4 separate regions of the Mus musculus genome follow, and regions 1, 2 and 4 are each reported to be linked to region 3. The links are microRNA targets in miRTarBase. Many come from high-throughput screens and were not tested one by one. Region 3 holds a microRNA gene; each other region holds the end of a gene's coding sequence.

Region 1 (3,078 bases), not on the chromosome of region 3:
TGTGGAATCTTTTTGCCCCTTGACTTTCTCCCTCCTCAGCCTAGACTCTCATGCCAGTCCCTGGTAAATGCAAAAGCCACTCACAAAAATGTGAGTCTGGTAATCATGATAGCAGTAGCTGGGATCAAAGGGGAGAGGACCAAGATGAGCTGGACTTGGAGATGATCTTTAGCAGAACTCTCTGGGGCCAGCCTTGAAGATAGCCAAAGAGAACAAGAGTAAGAACACGCACTGCTGTTAATCATCTCAGCTTGCTGCCACACAGGAGTGACCTTCTCAGGTGCCTGAGTGCCCTTAGCACAGGCTGTAGGAACAAGCAGTTCCAGCCATAGGGAGATGTTGAGAGCTTACCAGCCGCCTCCCCCTCCCCCCGTAGACGATGAGAAGATTCTGGTGGAGCCCGCGTGCGGCGCGGCGCTGGCTGCTGTGTACAGCCGCGTGGTGTGCAGGCTGCAGGATGAAGGCCGGCTGCAAACCCCACTGGCCTCGCTGGTTGTCATCGTGTGTGGCGGCAGCAACATAAGCCTGGCGCAGCTGCAGGCACTCAAGGTGCAGCTGGGCCTGAACGGGCTGCCCGAGTGATATCTGCTGCTGCCCTGGCCTCCCTCAGAGGGGTCACCGGCACCCCCTAGTGGGGTGGGATACACTTGACAATGGCCCCACCCTCCTTTACCTGTGTTTATAATGTGCACTTTTCCATTGTAAATAAAAAATAAATATATATTTATAGAGCAAAGATCTTTTGAGCTTTGTTTGTTCTTGACATGAGGGTCTATGTGCAGCCCAGGCTGGTCTCAAACTGGAGATCCTCCTGCCTCATCTTCTGAGTGCCGGGCAGACAGGCGTTAGCTTCCTTGCCTTGTTCAGTCTCCCTCTACACCCAGCCACATCGTCCCTGGCTCTCAGAGAAGTGGTGCTCCCCTCTGGGGTCTTGGGTCTCCCAGTGGATTGACTGGTGGAACCCACACATCCGTAAGTCAGGAGAGAGGACCAGAGCTAAGCCACACAGGGATCTAGGGTGGGGTCGCAAAGCAGCTGGGAGATGCACAGGCAAGGCCACCACATGCTAATATGAAGTCCTTAGGGACAGGACAAGGCCATCCTGAGACACCAGCGGCCCCACCCTGGTGTCTGGAAAACCAACCCCGTGCAGGCATCTGCAGAGCAGGGAAGGTGGAGTGAACCTGACAGGAAACCAACCCCTGACTACCAACGAAACTCAGAACACATGGCAGGCCCGGACTGGCTCGGGTAAAGCTACCCACACATCTTAGGGCCTCTGGTTCACAGGCTGTGAGCTCTCTGGGCCCCACACAGGGGACTTGGTTTCATGTGGGTCTCTGGGTCTAGGATTTAGGGTCTTAGTGGTCAGCAGGTTGGGCCAGGCTAGGACCCAGAATACAGCACTTGAGACAGATGCTGAGCAGAAGGACTAACAGGGATAAATGGACAGAGAGATGAGTGGGCTGATGAAAAGCAGAATCAAGGCACGGCGGCCTGTACATGGAAACCCAGCATGTGAGGGTGAAGGCGGCCAGCAGATACAATAACCAGAGGATGACTGTGGACTACAAGGCATTCAAGTTCAAGGCCACACTGAGTTACAGAGCAAAACCAAAATGAAAAGGGATGTGCAGTTCTGGGTGGACAGACTGACGGACGGGCAGGTGGATGGGTGGGTGAGAGGTGAGGACGTTCAGATGAAAAGGCAGGCAAGTGGACGGGTAGGTGTGTGGACCGCTGACTGAGTGAAAAGACGGTAGGGTGGACAGGAGAGGGGATGGACGGGCAGGGGGCTGGTGATGCAGGTGAACAGTAGGTACGTGGACTAGAGAAAGGACAGATGGAAGGAGACAGCCATGGACAGACAGGGTGTGGTGCCGCCCCACAAGGCTTGTTTAACAGAAGCACAGCCTGGGCTTCGCTGACCGGAGCACACAGCCAGAGACACCTACCAGGAGGCCAGGGGCAGGCTTGGCTGGGAGTAGGGGTAGAAGTGTGGGGTGACGGTCCATTCCTCCTGCTGAAAGAAGACTCAAGGCCCTCCAGCTACAAGCAGCCAGAAACTTTGGTTTTGTTCTCAAGCTCCTGCACTTAGAAGAGCTGCCCAGAAGGGCACAGGGCTGCCTCCTGAGGCGATGGGCCCACAGGCCAGCAGTGACAACCATAATGTCCCCTGTCAGTTCACACATATGCTGAGGGACCAGCACTAGGAGAATGTGTGCCCCGGATCCCACCAGGCCCACAGCCAAGCATAAGCCCCAGCCTGCTGGTGACAGGGACAGGGAGGATGAGCCATGAAGGGGCAGAGGGCTCAGAGACAGAGGCAACTCTGAGCCCACTGGGTTGTGTCCTTGCGAAGGAAGCCGCTAGGACCAGAGTCTAGTGAAGACAGAAGCCCGAGGGGTGGACGGCAGGTGTATGACCCACTGGCCACACAAAATGAAGGCAGCTAGGCGGAGGCGGACTCTCTCTCAGTCCCATGGCACCCTGATGGGTGAGAACATCCAGAGGTCGGGCTGGCCCATGTGCAGCATGCTGTGGAATGGCGATTTGCTCCACTGGAACGGAGGACACTGGTCCCACGTGGGGCCACTGGCCGCCAGCATGCTCATGTACTTGGCCAGGGTAAAGCTGGTCACCTGGGGGGGTCAGAGAGCACACACTCAGCTGGTAGGGCCCAACTCTCACCACGACTTTTCTTCAAAACACCATTCTGAAGCTGACCCCAAAGTGATATCCCCTTAAACTGACCCAGCTTCAGCCCAGGTCTGACCTCTGACCCTGCACCTGTCCCATCCATCCTTCCCCGGGGCATGTGACAACTGGCTTAGGTGGCCGACCTTCACATCAATGCCACCATGGGCGCGCTGATGCAGGGCCTGAAATGGGTAGGAGCCATTGGCGGGGTTGAGGTCAGAGCGGGCAGAGATGGCATTCTCCGCATTAGGCTTTGGGTTGCAGGCTTCACACAATGACAGAGGGTCATGGAGGAAATCATTGTACCTGGATGGGAAGGAAGGGATGGCAGTCACCCCAGGGAGAGGCCAAGCTCCTCTAGCCTCATAGTGGCCCTGA
Region 2 (3,067 bases), not on the chromosome of region 3:
TAGTTAAAGTCCATATATAAACTGTCATAACCAAATTTTCACTTACCCGTGATAAGGTTTAGATCTGCGGTTACTGTTGACATTTTTGACAGAGAAGTTGTATGCTGAGAGGAAATAAGCAAAGAAGGCAGACTGGGGAGGATGGGAAGAGAGGACCTGCGCCCTCACAGCCTCCACACTTGTGCTTCTTTCCGTTAGGTCTGTCTGCTGCTGCTGGCATCGGTGTGGATGACCTCCGGCGATTGTGCATTCTCAGGATGAGCTTTGTGAAGGGCTGGGGCCCAGACTACCCCAGGCAGAGCATCAAGGAAACCCCGTGCTGGATTGAGATTCACCTTCACCGAGCTCTGCAGCTCTTGGATGAAGTCCTGCACACCATGCCCATTGCGGACCCACAGCCTTTAGACTGAGATCTCACACCACGGACGCCCTAACCATTTCCAGGATGGTGGACTATGAAATATACTCGTGTTTATAATCTGAAGATCTATTGCATTTTGTTCTGCTCTGTCTTTTCCTAAAGGGTTGAGAGATGTGTTTGCTGCCTTGCTCTTAGCAGACAGAAACTGAATTAAAACTTCTTTTCTATTTTAGAACTTTCAGGTGTGGCTCAGTGCTTGAAGATCAGAAAGATGCAGTTCTTGCTGAGTCTTCCCTGCTGGTTCTGTATGGAGGAGTCGGCCAGTGCTGGGCGCTCAGCCCTTTAGTGTGTGCGAGCGCCTTGCATGCCGAGGAGAGTCAGAGCTGCTGATTGTAAGGCTGAGAAGTTCTCACAGTTAAGCCACCTGCCCCTTAGTGGGCGAGTTATTAAACGCACTGTGCTCACGTGGCGCTGGGCCAGCCAGCTCTACCAAGAGCAACTTTACTCTCCTTTAAAAACCTTTTAGCAACCTTTGATTCACAATGGTTTTTGCAAGTTAAACAGTGAAGGTGAATTAAATTCATACTGTCTTGCAGACTTCAGGGTTTCTTCCCCAAGACAAAACACTAATCTGTGTGCATATTGACAATTCCTTACAATTATCAGTCAAAGAAATGCCATTTAAAATTACAATTTTTTTAATCCCTAATGGATGACCACTATCAAGATGTATACTTTGCCCTGTTAAACAGTAAATGAATTCTTCTATATTTCTAGGCACAAGGTTAGTTATTTAAAAAAAAAAAAAAAAGCCTAGGGGAGGGATTTTTCCCTTAATTCCTAGGGAGAAGGTTTTGTATAAAACACTAAAAGCAGTGTCACTCTGCCTGCTGCTTCACTGTTCTGCAAGGTGGCAGTACTTCAACTGAAATAATGAATATTTTGGAAACTGCTAAATTCTATGTTAAATACTGTGCAGAATAATGGAAACAGTGCAGTTGGTAACAGGTGGTTTGGATATTTTTGTACTTGATTTGATGTGTGACTTCTTTTCATATACTGTTAAAATCATGTATGTTTTGACATTGTTTAAAATTCAGTTTTTGTATCTTAGGGCAAGACTGCAGACTTTTTTATACCTTTTGGTTATAAGCCCTGTGTTTGCCATCCTTGATCACTTGGCGGTGACTTTGTAGAGATTGAAGTGGAGGAGTTAAGACACATTGACTGTACCACAGACACACATGTATACTTTCTACCTAGTTACTAGCGTAAATAAAACTGAGTCACTATACGAAGTGGAATTCTAGATTTGGTTTTTAAAATGCTTTCCTTTTGCACTTTTGAGTCCAGTCTCAGTGGCAAGACACCTTCTGCTAAATGACAGGTGGCAGCCAGTTGTACCATGCAGCGCTGGTTCCCTCCCACTCTACCAGGACTTTCCCATGGACACTGTGCATCATGTGTAGTTGGTTATTTTTTGAGTTTTTATTTTACTGTAGCAAAAAAAAAAAAAAAAACTTGGATAAATAGTGTGAATAAAATCAAGACCATGGAGATGTTTTTACCCTGAGAGTTTTCTGTGAGTTTTAAATTGCAGTAGGCATTTGAGCTCTGGAAACCCCGTGCATAGCAGTTCTCTTTGTGCCAACAGAAATGACCACGTCCTGCAGCCTGCTGCGGAAGGTTCCAGAGGCTCTGAGAAACCAGAGTGCTGCAGTGACTGGGGTCCATCTCAGCCCAGCGCACACAGCGTGCGTTGTAAAAGCTGCCTCTGTGTCTTGTCTTCTGTACTTAGGGATGCTTTGTCTCGGGCCTAATCTTATCTGTAGAAGTTTGGTGATTTTTTTTTTTTAAATGTTGTATTGACAGAATTATAAAAAGATACCTTCTCTAGAAATGCTTGTCTTCAGATCCGTTTCACGATGGCCGGGGAACAGGAGTGAGAAGAGAGAGTAAGCTGTAGTGTAACGGGTTTTTAAGACCCAGCTCATCTGACCAGGCAGTGCTGTAACTTGATGCTTCCTGTTGTACCTTATGGAACCTTTCCCATATTTAATCATCTTCAGAAAGTAGGTGGGAAATATTTGCTGGGAAGTATCTCTTCAGAGCCAAGCCACTTGTCTTGGTTTTCTTACTAAGAGCCATAGAAATGATTTCTGGTTATTGATGAAATTTGTAATTTGCCTGTCCTAGTCTTTTTTCCTTTCACTTCGCTATCTTTGAATAAGACTTTTAAAAACTTCCCTGAGTTGAAAAATTTTGGGATAAAATAGTTTCCCTAGTTCTTAGAGACTGATTATGATGTGGGTATGGTTCTGGGTGGGTTTTTTTTCTAAGTCATAGCTCAAAAGTCTCCCAAGATTAAATTTCAGTGGGCACCCAGTTTGAAACCATTCTACTTTTGTCTTGTGCCTTTCTTTGCATGATTAAAGAGAATCTGTAATGGTATTGCCTTTATTTGCTTGGAAGTAGATTCTTTTCTGGGATAGAGTCTACCTTAATCGTTGTCCTTTACCGCCCCTGCTGTACAGATAGATGCTAAGCCACTGCCGGGAACTTGCTTTTCCATAGACAGTCTTTTTATACTGCCTGAACCCATTGCTCCTGTTCACAGTATAAGTTCACAGACAGGGTGAGCCGGCCGAGGCGCACACCTGCAGAATCCAGCAACAACCATGCTTAACTGTGTGTATTTCAAAGTTA
Region 3 (3,078 bases):
GGCACACACACACACACACACACACACACACACACACACACACACCCCACCCTAAATGCTGTGTCTGTCTCGACTTACCGTGGAAAAAGTAGGTAAGCATTATCTGGTTTTCCTGACTGGTGCGTTTGTTAACTCAAGAAAGCCTTAAGTTGGGTGCAGAGGGAACTTCCACAATCCCTGTGCTTGGGAAACTGAGGCAGGGAAATCACAAGTTCCAGAATAACATGAGTTACCCAGTAAGAGCCAGTCAGTCTTGAAAGAGCCAGGCATGCATGCTTGTGTGCATAGCTCACGGAAACAGGAGATGAACACGGCTAGCCCAAAGAGCCAGGCATGCATGCCTGTGTGCATAGCTCATGAGAGCAGGAGGTGAAGGCTAGCCCAGACTATGTAGCAAGACCCCATCTCAAAAGCCCTGAAACTTACCTCAGGTAGAATTTGGTGGGTAGGATGGATGGGTGGATGAAGGAGAAGGGAAACCGGAAAATATGTGATACTTTTTGCCCTGTGCTGGCTAAGAACTGCTCAGTGGGCTGTCTCCAGGGGGTAGGGTTTCCTGTCTGCTGACACTGTGCACTTCTGCCTTCTAGCCGATCAACAATGCTGACTTCATAGTGCCTGTAGAGATTGAGGGGACCACGCACCAGGTGAGCTGTTTGCCAGCATACACCCTGCCTCAAAGGGAAACTGCCTCTCAACCTGTTTATCATCAGCTTCCATGTTTGTTGATGGCTTGTCTCCAGATCATCCACACTTCCCTCTAGCCAACACTCCTGTCTCTATGTAGTCAGGCTGTTTGCAAGAACTGTTGGCTTTTTTAAAAATATTTTTAAAGAATTATTTGTTTTATGTATATGAGTACACTTAACTGTATTCAGACACACCAGAAGAGGGCATTGGATTCCATTAGAGATGGTTGTGAGCCACCATGTGGTTGCTGGGATTTGAACTCAGGACCTCAGAAGAGCAGTCAATGCTCTTAACCACTGAGCCATCTCTCCAGCCCAGGATAGGGTCTCTTTATTTAATTCTAGCTGACTTGGACCTCACAGAGGGCTGGAGTTAATTAAAGGCCTTCACCATTGTGTGCAGCCCCTGGCATTTTCACATCATAGTCCTAGCCATCACTGTGGCTTTTTAAATGTGCATTACTGGTTTTGCCTGCGTGTGTGTCTGTGTGAGGGTGTCGAATCCCCTGGAACCAGAGTTACAGTTGTGAGCTGCCAGGGGTTGCTGGGAATTGAACCCAGCTCCTCAATGAAGAGCATATGCTGTCCAGCCCATGCAGTCCATGCTTAGACCAGGCGAGCCTTGCTCTGTGTGCAGGGCTGTTAGGATTTGCTCCTGTGCCCTCTGGTGAAGAGCTACTGAATGTGTCTTCCCTGGCCCAGGCCCCTCCTATGACACCTTTCTGACCTCTACACTGGTTTCTGTAAGTGCTCCATATGCATCTGTCAGAGTGGCAGAGTCCAGGCTCTGCCGTGTACACCCTGCTGCCTAGGGTTAAGGACCACGAGGCATTGGTGAGAGACCATGTGCCCAGAGGCATGCTGGTCGGCCCAGGGGAGGGCCGGAGACAGTGATGCAGACATCCTAGCAAGCATGAGACCTGTTTTCAGACTGAGAAAGTTCAGCTTGAGACTGTCCTGGGTTTGTCATCGTAGCCCTCTGCCCCTTTACGAACTTCTGTACAGAGCCTCGAAGCTGTGGCTCTTTACTCCACCCATCACCCCCTGCTGTCTAGTTGAGGAAATAGAAATGTACAGAATGTATGGGGCTCTGGCATGGGCAGAAGGGGCCTGAGTGAGAGGGCTGCCTGCCATGTGGATCTGAGGAGAGCCTGGGAGGAGAGCAATGCTTGGTGAGGAAGGGGCTTGTTTGTGAGGCTTAAGAAGTGGAAGGTGATGGATAGATCCATTTGCAGCTGCATGGAGGGTTCTGCTGCTAAATGGGAGGGCTCTGCTCAGTTGGTGCTGATGTGGGCTAGGAGGGACTGGGGTGGGCACACCCCCTGTGCTGCTTTAAGGAAGTGAGTGAGTGGGCCTAAGGAACACTTGTGCAGGCTGAAGTAAGAAAGAAAGAAGAAGCAGCAGATCATAGACTGGGTGGCGAGTTAGTTGAAGAACCTTTAAAAGCGAGCAAGTCCTCGAAGCTGGTGGTGTGCACACAAACCTACGAGGGTGTGTGTTTGAAGAAGTTTGTGGTTCTTGCCAGATGGGACCTACACAAGCCGTCCTGCTGGAATCCCGTACAGAAGGCTACTGTGGAGGCTGCGGCTGGATTCAAGTAATCCAGGATAGGCTGTGTCCGTCCATGAGGCCTGTTCTTGATTACTTGTTTCTGGAGGCAGCGCATGGTCTGCCCTCAATGAAGATGGCTCCTGGGAGTGCATTCCTTCCTGCCGGGTTAGGGTTGGGCCTGTTGAGGCAGCAGAAGCCTGGTAACATGGTAGAGCTGTCCATGGTGGGGCAGAGGTCTCAGTGTCTCGACCTGGGTATCTAGGCCTGCTTGCTTTTCTGTCAGTGCACAGGCAGAGCCGGTGCTGTGTCCTTGGCCTTGTGGGGTTCCTACAGCAATCCACTCTGTCTCCCAGGTATATGTGCTCAAGAGGCCTTACGTCGATGAGTTCCTGAGACGGATGGGGGAGCTCTTCGAATGTGTTCTCTTCACTGCCAGCTTGGCCAAGGTACCTGACTGCAGGAGGGGCAGAAGGCAGGGGAGAGCCAGCCCTCAGCCTAGGCTAAAGCTTCTCCTTCTTTTCCAGTATGCTGACCCTGTGACTGATCTCCTGGACCGGTGCGGGGTGTTCCGGGCCCGCCTGTTCCGAGAGGCTTGTGTGTTCCACCAGGGCTGCTATGTCAAGGACCTCAGCCGCCTGGGAAGGGACCTGAGGAAAACTGTCATCCTGGACAACTCCCCTGCATCTTACATCTTCCACCCAGAAAATGCAGTGAGTGCTCGCATCAGGGACTGGGGTGGCTGCAGGCTGGGCCCGTGGGCTTTATCAGAGGAGTCCACAACCCCTGTGTGGCCCAGCAGCCTCCAATGGCACTGGAAAGGAAAGGAAATATCAGATAA
Region 4 (3,078 bases), not on the chromosome of region 3:
GACTGAACCCAGGGCCTTGCGTTGCAAGCACTCTACCCCACATTAAGCCCCCTTTATACCTAATAGAAATGCTGTTTTGAGCGAGGTTTTTTGTTATGGTTTTTTTTTCCTTAGTTTTGAGCGAGGTTTTAGTATGAATTCTGAGCCACACAGCAGACACACCCTTCTGGGGATGCTCAGGATCCTCTCATGCGCCTCAGCTCTTGGCTGGGGTGGGCAGGCAGCAGATACAACCCAGCGATAGAACTTTCTGGGCAGAGGTACAAGGAAGGCTAGACTTCATTCAGCACCGTCAGGTTTTCTTTTCGTGCCCTATTTGAGAGCACTCCCTAGTGCACAATAGACAAGGGCAAAGGGGTCCCGCAAATTAAGGATTAAGGTACACATTCACACCTGCCACGATGGTCTGTTTCTCTTCGATACTGTATCTCAGTTCACCTCTATCCTGTAGGGAGCAGAGGACATCCAGAGTGACTGCCCTATCACGGACCCTTACCTTAGACCCACGAGAATGGCAGAGTCCCCCTGGGTTGAGCATGAGTGTTGATGGTATGTGTAGAACATGTGTACCTTAGCTCCCTGAGCCCCATCCTGATATTTACAGCCTGAGGATTGCTTCCCTACATATGGGGACTGCTCTTGAAGAGATTGGCTAAACCTGTCTCCTTGATCCAGCAGTATACCTCGGATGTTTCCTCCTTTTTTATCTGTATACAACAGCACTGCCTCTTTGTGCTTCTCCATGGAATAAACTCTGAGTTTCTGGGTGCTGGTTTCTCCATCAATGTCCAGTCTACCCAACCCCAGCTTTCCTGTGTGTGTCTGTTTTTCATTCCCTTTCTGCCCTGGTCAGGTCGGACCCTAGAGCTGTGTGGGCGAAGGGTCTTCCCACTGTATTAAGATCAATTGATTTTCATAAACAAAAGGGATGCTGGTCTGATCACAGCTGTTATGTACATGGGCACATTCACAGTACAAGGATGAAAACTCACAGGTTCAGTTTGGAAGTATTAAGGTTACAGTTACAGGTGATCAACTTTAACACAGAAACTGCTAGACAGCAGCTTTACAATGTGTTTGTATACATCCAAGTAACCCAAGGAGACGGCACCAGCAAGACATAACAGTCTGTTACTGTCAATCATTTGAATCTACAGGAGAGAACTGAAGAGGAGAGCTGTCTGTTCCGTTAGGAGGCGGGACATCCCAGTGACAGACACTACTGAACAGTTGGCACATCTTTGCTGCCAGCTGAGCCCCTTTGAAACAATGTTTTAGGCTCTAGGAGTGGTCAACTCTAGACTAGCTTTGTAGTAAGCTCCTTGACTACATCATACTACGGAGAACAATACTACAGGGCAGCAGAAAGCTTGGATCTGAGGAGCTAGGGCTGTACTAAGTACAGCACTTGGCTAGTGGGCACAAGGCCTAGATTTCGGCAGCACCGCAAAAATGGAAAAGTAAAAGTTCAAGGGTACAAATAGTTTATACCTGTTTTTACATTACATAGATTTTACATTACACAATTCACAAAGCCATCATATATATGTGTATATGTGTGTATATATATACACACACACACACATATGTATGTGTGACATATAAATCATACATATATTTGTGCCAGTTGAATGGATGAGTTTACATTTCTCAAATGTTAGAAGGTGAGACACTGTTTCCTCCCATTACAGAGAACACCAGGCAAGTGTCTCCAGATGCAGAGACAAGTCAGGTTTTTGTCAGACTTCTCAAATACTAGTACTTTCTACAAACTTCATTTCAGAAGGCAAAATTAACAGCAAGGTCCAATGGTTCAAATGGCTGAGCTTCTTAAAATACCAAAAAAAATCACGTGCCAGTGTCTACTGGTTTCTAATGTAATAGACTGTAATGACATTTCTTCAGGGTGTACCCTATGTCAAAGTGAAATCTTTACCCCTGGCCTTCATATCACCTGTCCCCTCAAAGGACTGAAAATGAGCACTTAAATCCGTAGCATGGCAAAGAATGCATGAACAGCCACTGGGTCCCTCAGGACCACCTCACCTCTTAGTCACCTAACCACGAAGCAGTCAGGGACTTTCAGATTAAAATGCAATGTCACAGTCCAAGGGGACCTCCTTCAGACAGCACATAATCTACAGCATCACTTCTGTCTATCACAGGCCCTTCCTTGTTTTCCATGACAACACTTTAAAAATGTGGCATTTCTTATATATACAAAGTTCAATGGTAGTCCTTAAAATGGCAAACACAAATGGTTGTCTGCTATAAAGTGTGCACTCTAATCTACAGAAAAACAATGAGCACAAGCAAGAATCTGTTCAAGTCAAGACGACCACTCAATGAATACCCTGGCCTTTGACCACAGAAAGGGAGCTTAATCTTGATTGTTTCTCTGACCACCATTTATGTCACAACAGTTTCAATAAACTACAGCTTATTGAACGCTGCTTTTTATATATAGTCACCTCCATAGAAAAACTTCATCTGCAAATAGAAGGTAGAGGGTTGGTTTTTTTTTTTCCTCACAGCTATAGGCTGTAACACGGATTTCTCCAGGTATCATTGGAGAACAGAAAATATGGCACTCAATTCCAGATTCTAAGAAAACTGTCCCAGGAGCCAGTGGCCACAGCCATGCCGTCATCAGTCACACCTAAGCAGCTAACACGGTTGTCATGACCAGCAAGGACACCTACAAAGAAAGATCAATAGAGAGTTAAAACTGAAGTTTTAGAACTGCAAAAATAGTTCTGCATTATGATGCAGATGGTGATCAAAAAAGCAGTCATTCTGGGAAGACTAGTGCTAGAGCCAAGTCCAGCATATGGACACAACACACCACAAGCTATTGGAATTTTTTACATCATTTGTGAACATCTGTTTGTGTTTTCAAAATTTTAAAAGTCAGTGTTAAAAAAAAAATCGAAGACAGGGTCTCACATAGTCCAGGCTGATCTTGACCTCGCTACCCGGCCAGAAATCATCTTCAAATCCCCATCTTCCTATTTCTGCCTACAAGAGCAGGGGTGGCACCTGGTGTTTAGTAACTTCTCTATCTAGGGAGTCATGTAA

What was found. The annotated mature microRNA mmu-miR-26a-5p reads UUCAAGUAAUCCAGGAUAGGCU and lies in region 3 at 2,282-2,303, shown strand. An mRNA with a match to its seed (bases 2 to 7 or 8) in the 3' UTR can be bound and repressed. Matches are read on the target gene's strand: a 7mer-m8 pairs with bases 2 to 8, a 7mer-A1 pairs with bases 2 to 7 and ends in A, and an 8mer does both.
Region 1: miRTarBase lists Plbd2 as a target of mmu-miR-26a-5p. Seed matches in the 3' UTR shown: 7mer-A1 at 1,579-1,585.
Region 2: miRTarBase lists Smad4 as a target of mmu-miR-26a-5p. Seed matches in the 3' UTR shown: 7mer-m8 at 1,388-1,394.
Region 4: miRTarBase lists Gnb4 as a target of mmu-miR-26a-5p. Seed matches in the 3' UTR shown: 7mer-A1 at 2,324-2,330.

The regions. Positions count from the first base shown.
Region 1 is chr5:120,483,197-120,486,274 of GRCm38, forward strand. Plbd2 (phospholipase B domain containing 2) reads right to left here. Exons shown (of 12, transcript NM_023625.4): 11 at 2,844-3,006; 12 at 697-2,642. The coding sequence ends at 2,475. Sds (serine dehydratase) reads left to right here. Exons shown (of 8, transcript NM_145565.1): 8 at 377-709. The coding sequence ends at 582. Among named protein-coding and RNA genes, the nearest start is that of Sds, 8.2 kb to the left of the region's middle.
Region 2 is chr18:73,637,601-73,640,667 of GRCm38, reverse strand. It overlaps Smad4 (SMAD family member 4), which reads left to right. Exons shown (of 12, transcript NM_008540.3): 12 at 199-3,067. The coding sequence ends at 410. Among named protein-coding and RNA genes, the nearest start is that of Smad4, 65 kb to the left of the region's middle.
Region 3 is chr10:126,993,262-126,996,339 of GRCm38, forward strand. Mir26a-2 (microRNA 26a-2) reads left to right here and starts at 2,269; the gene lies at 2,269-2,352. It overlaps Ctdsp2 (CTD (carboxy-terminal domain, RNA polymerase II, polypeptide A) small phosphatase 2), which reads left to right. Exons shown (of 8, transcript NM_001113470.1): 5 at 591-647; 6 at 2,594-2,686; 7 at 2,765-2,950.
Region 4 is chr3:32,582,529-32,585,606 of GRCm38, forward strand. It overlaps Gnb4 (guanine nucleotide binding protein (G protein), beta 4), which reads right to left. Exons shown (of 10, transcript NM_013531.5): 10 at 1-2,698. The coding sequence ends at 2,592. Among named protein-coding and RNA genes, the nearest start is that of Gnb4, 33 kb to the right of the region's middle.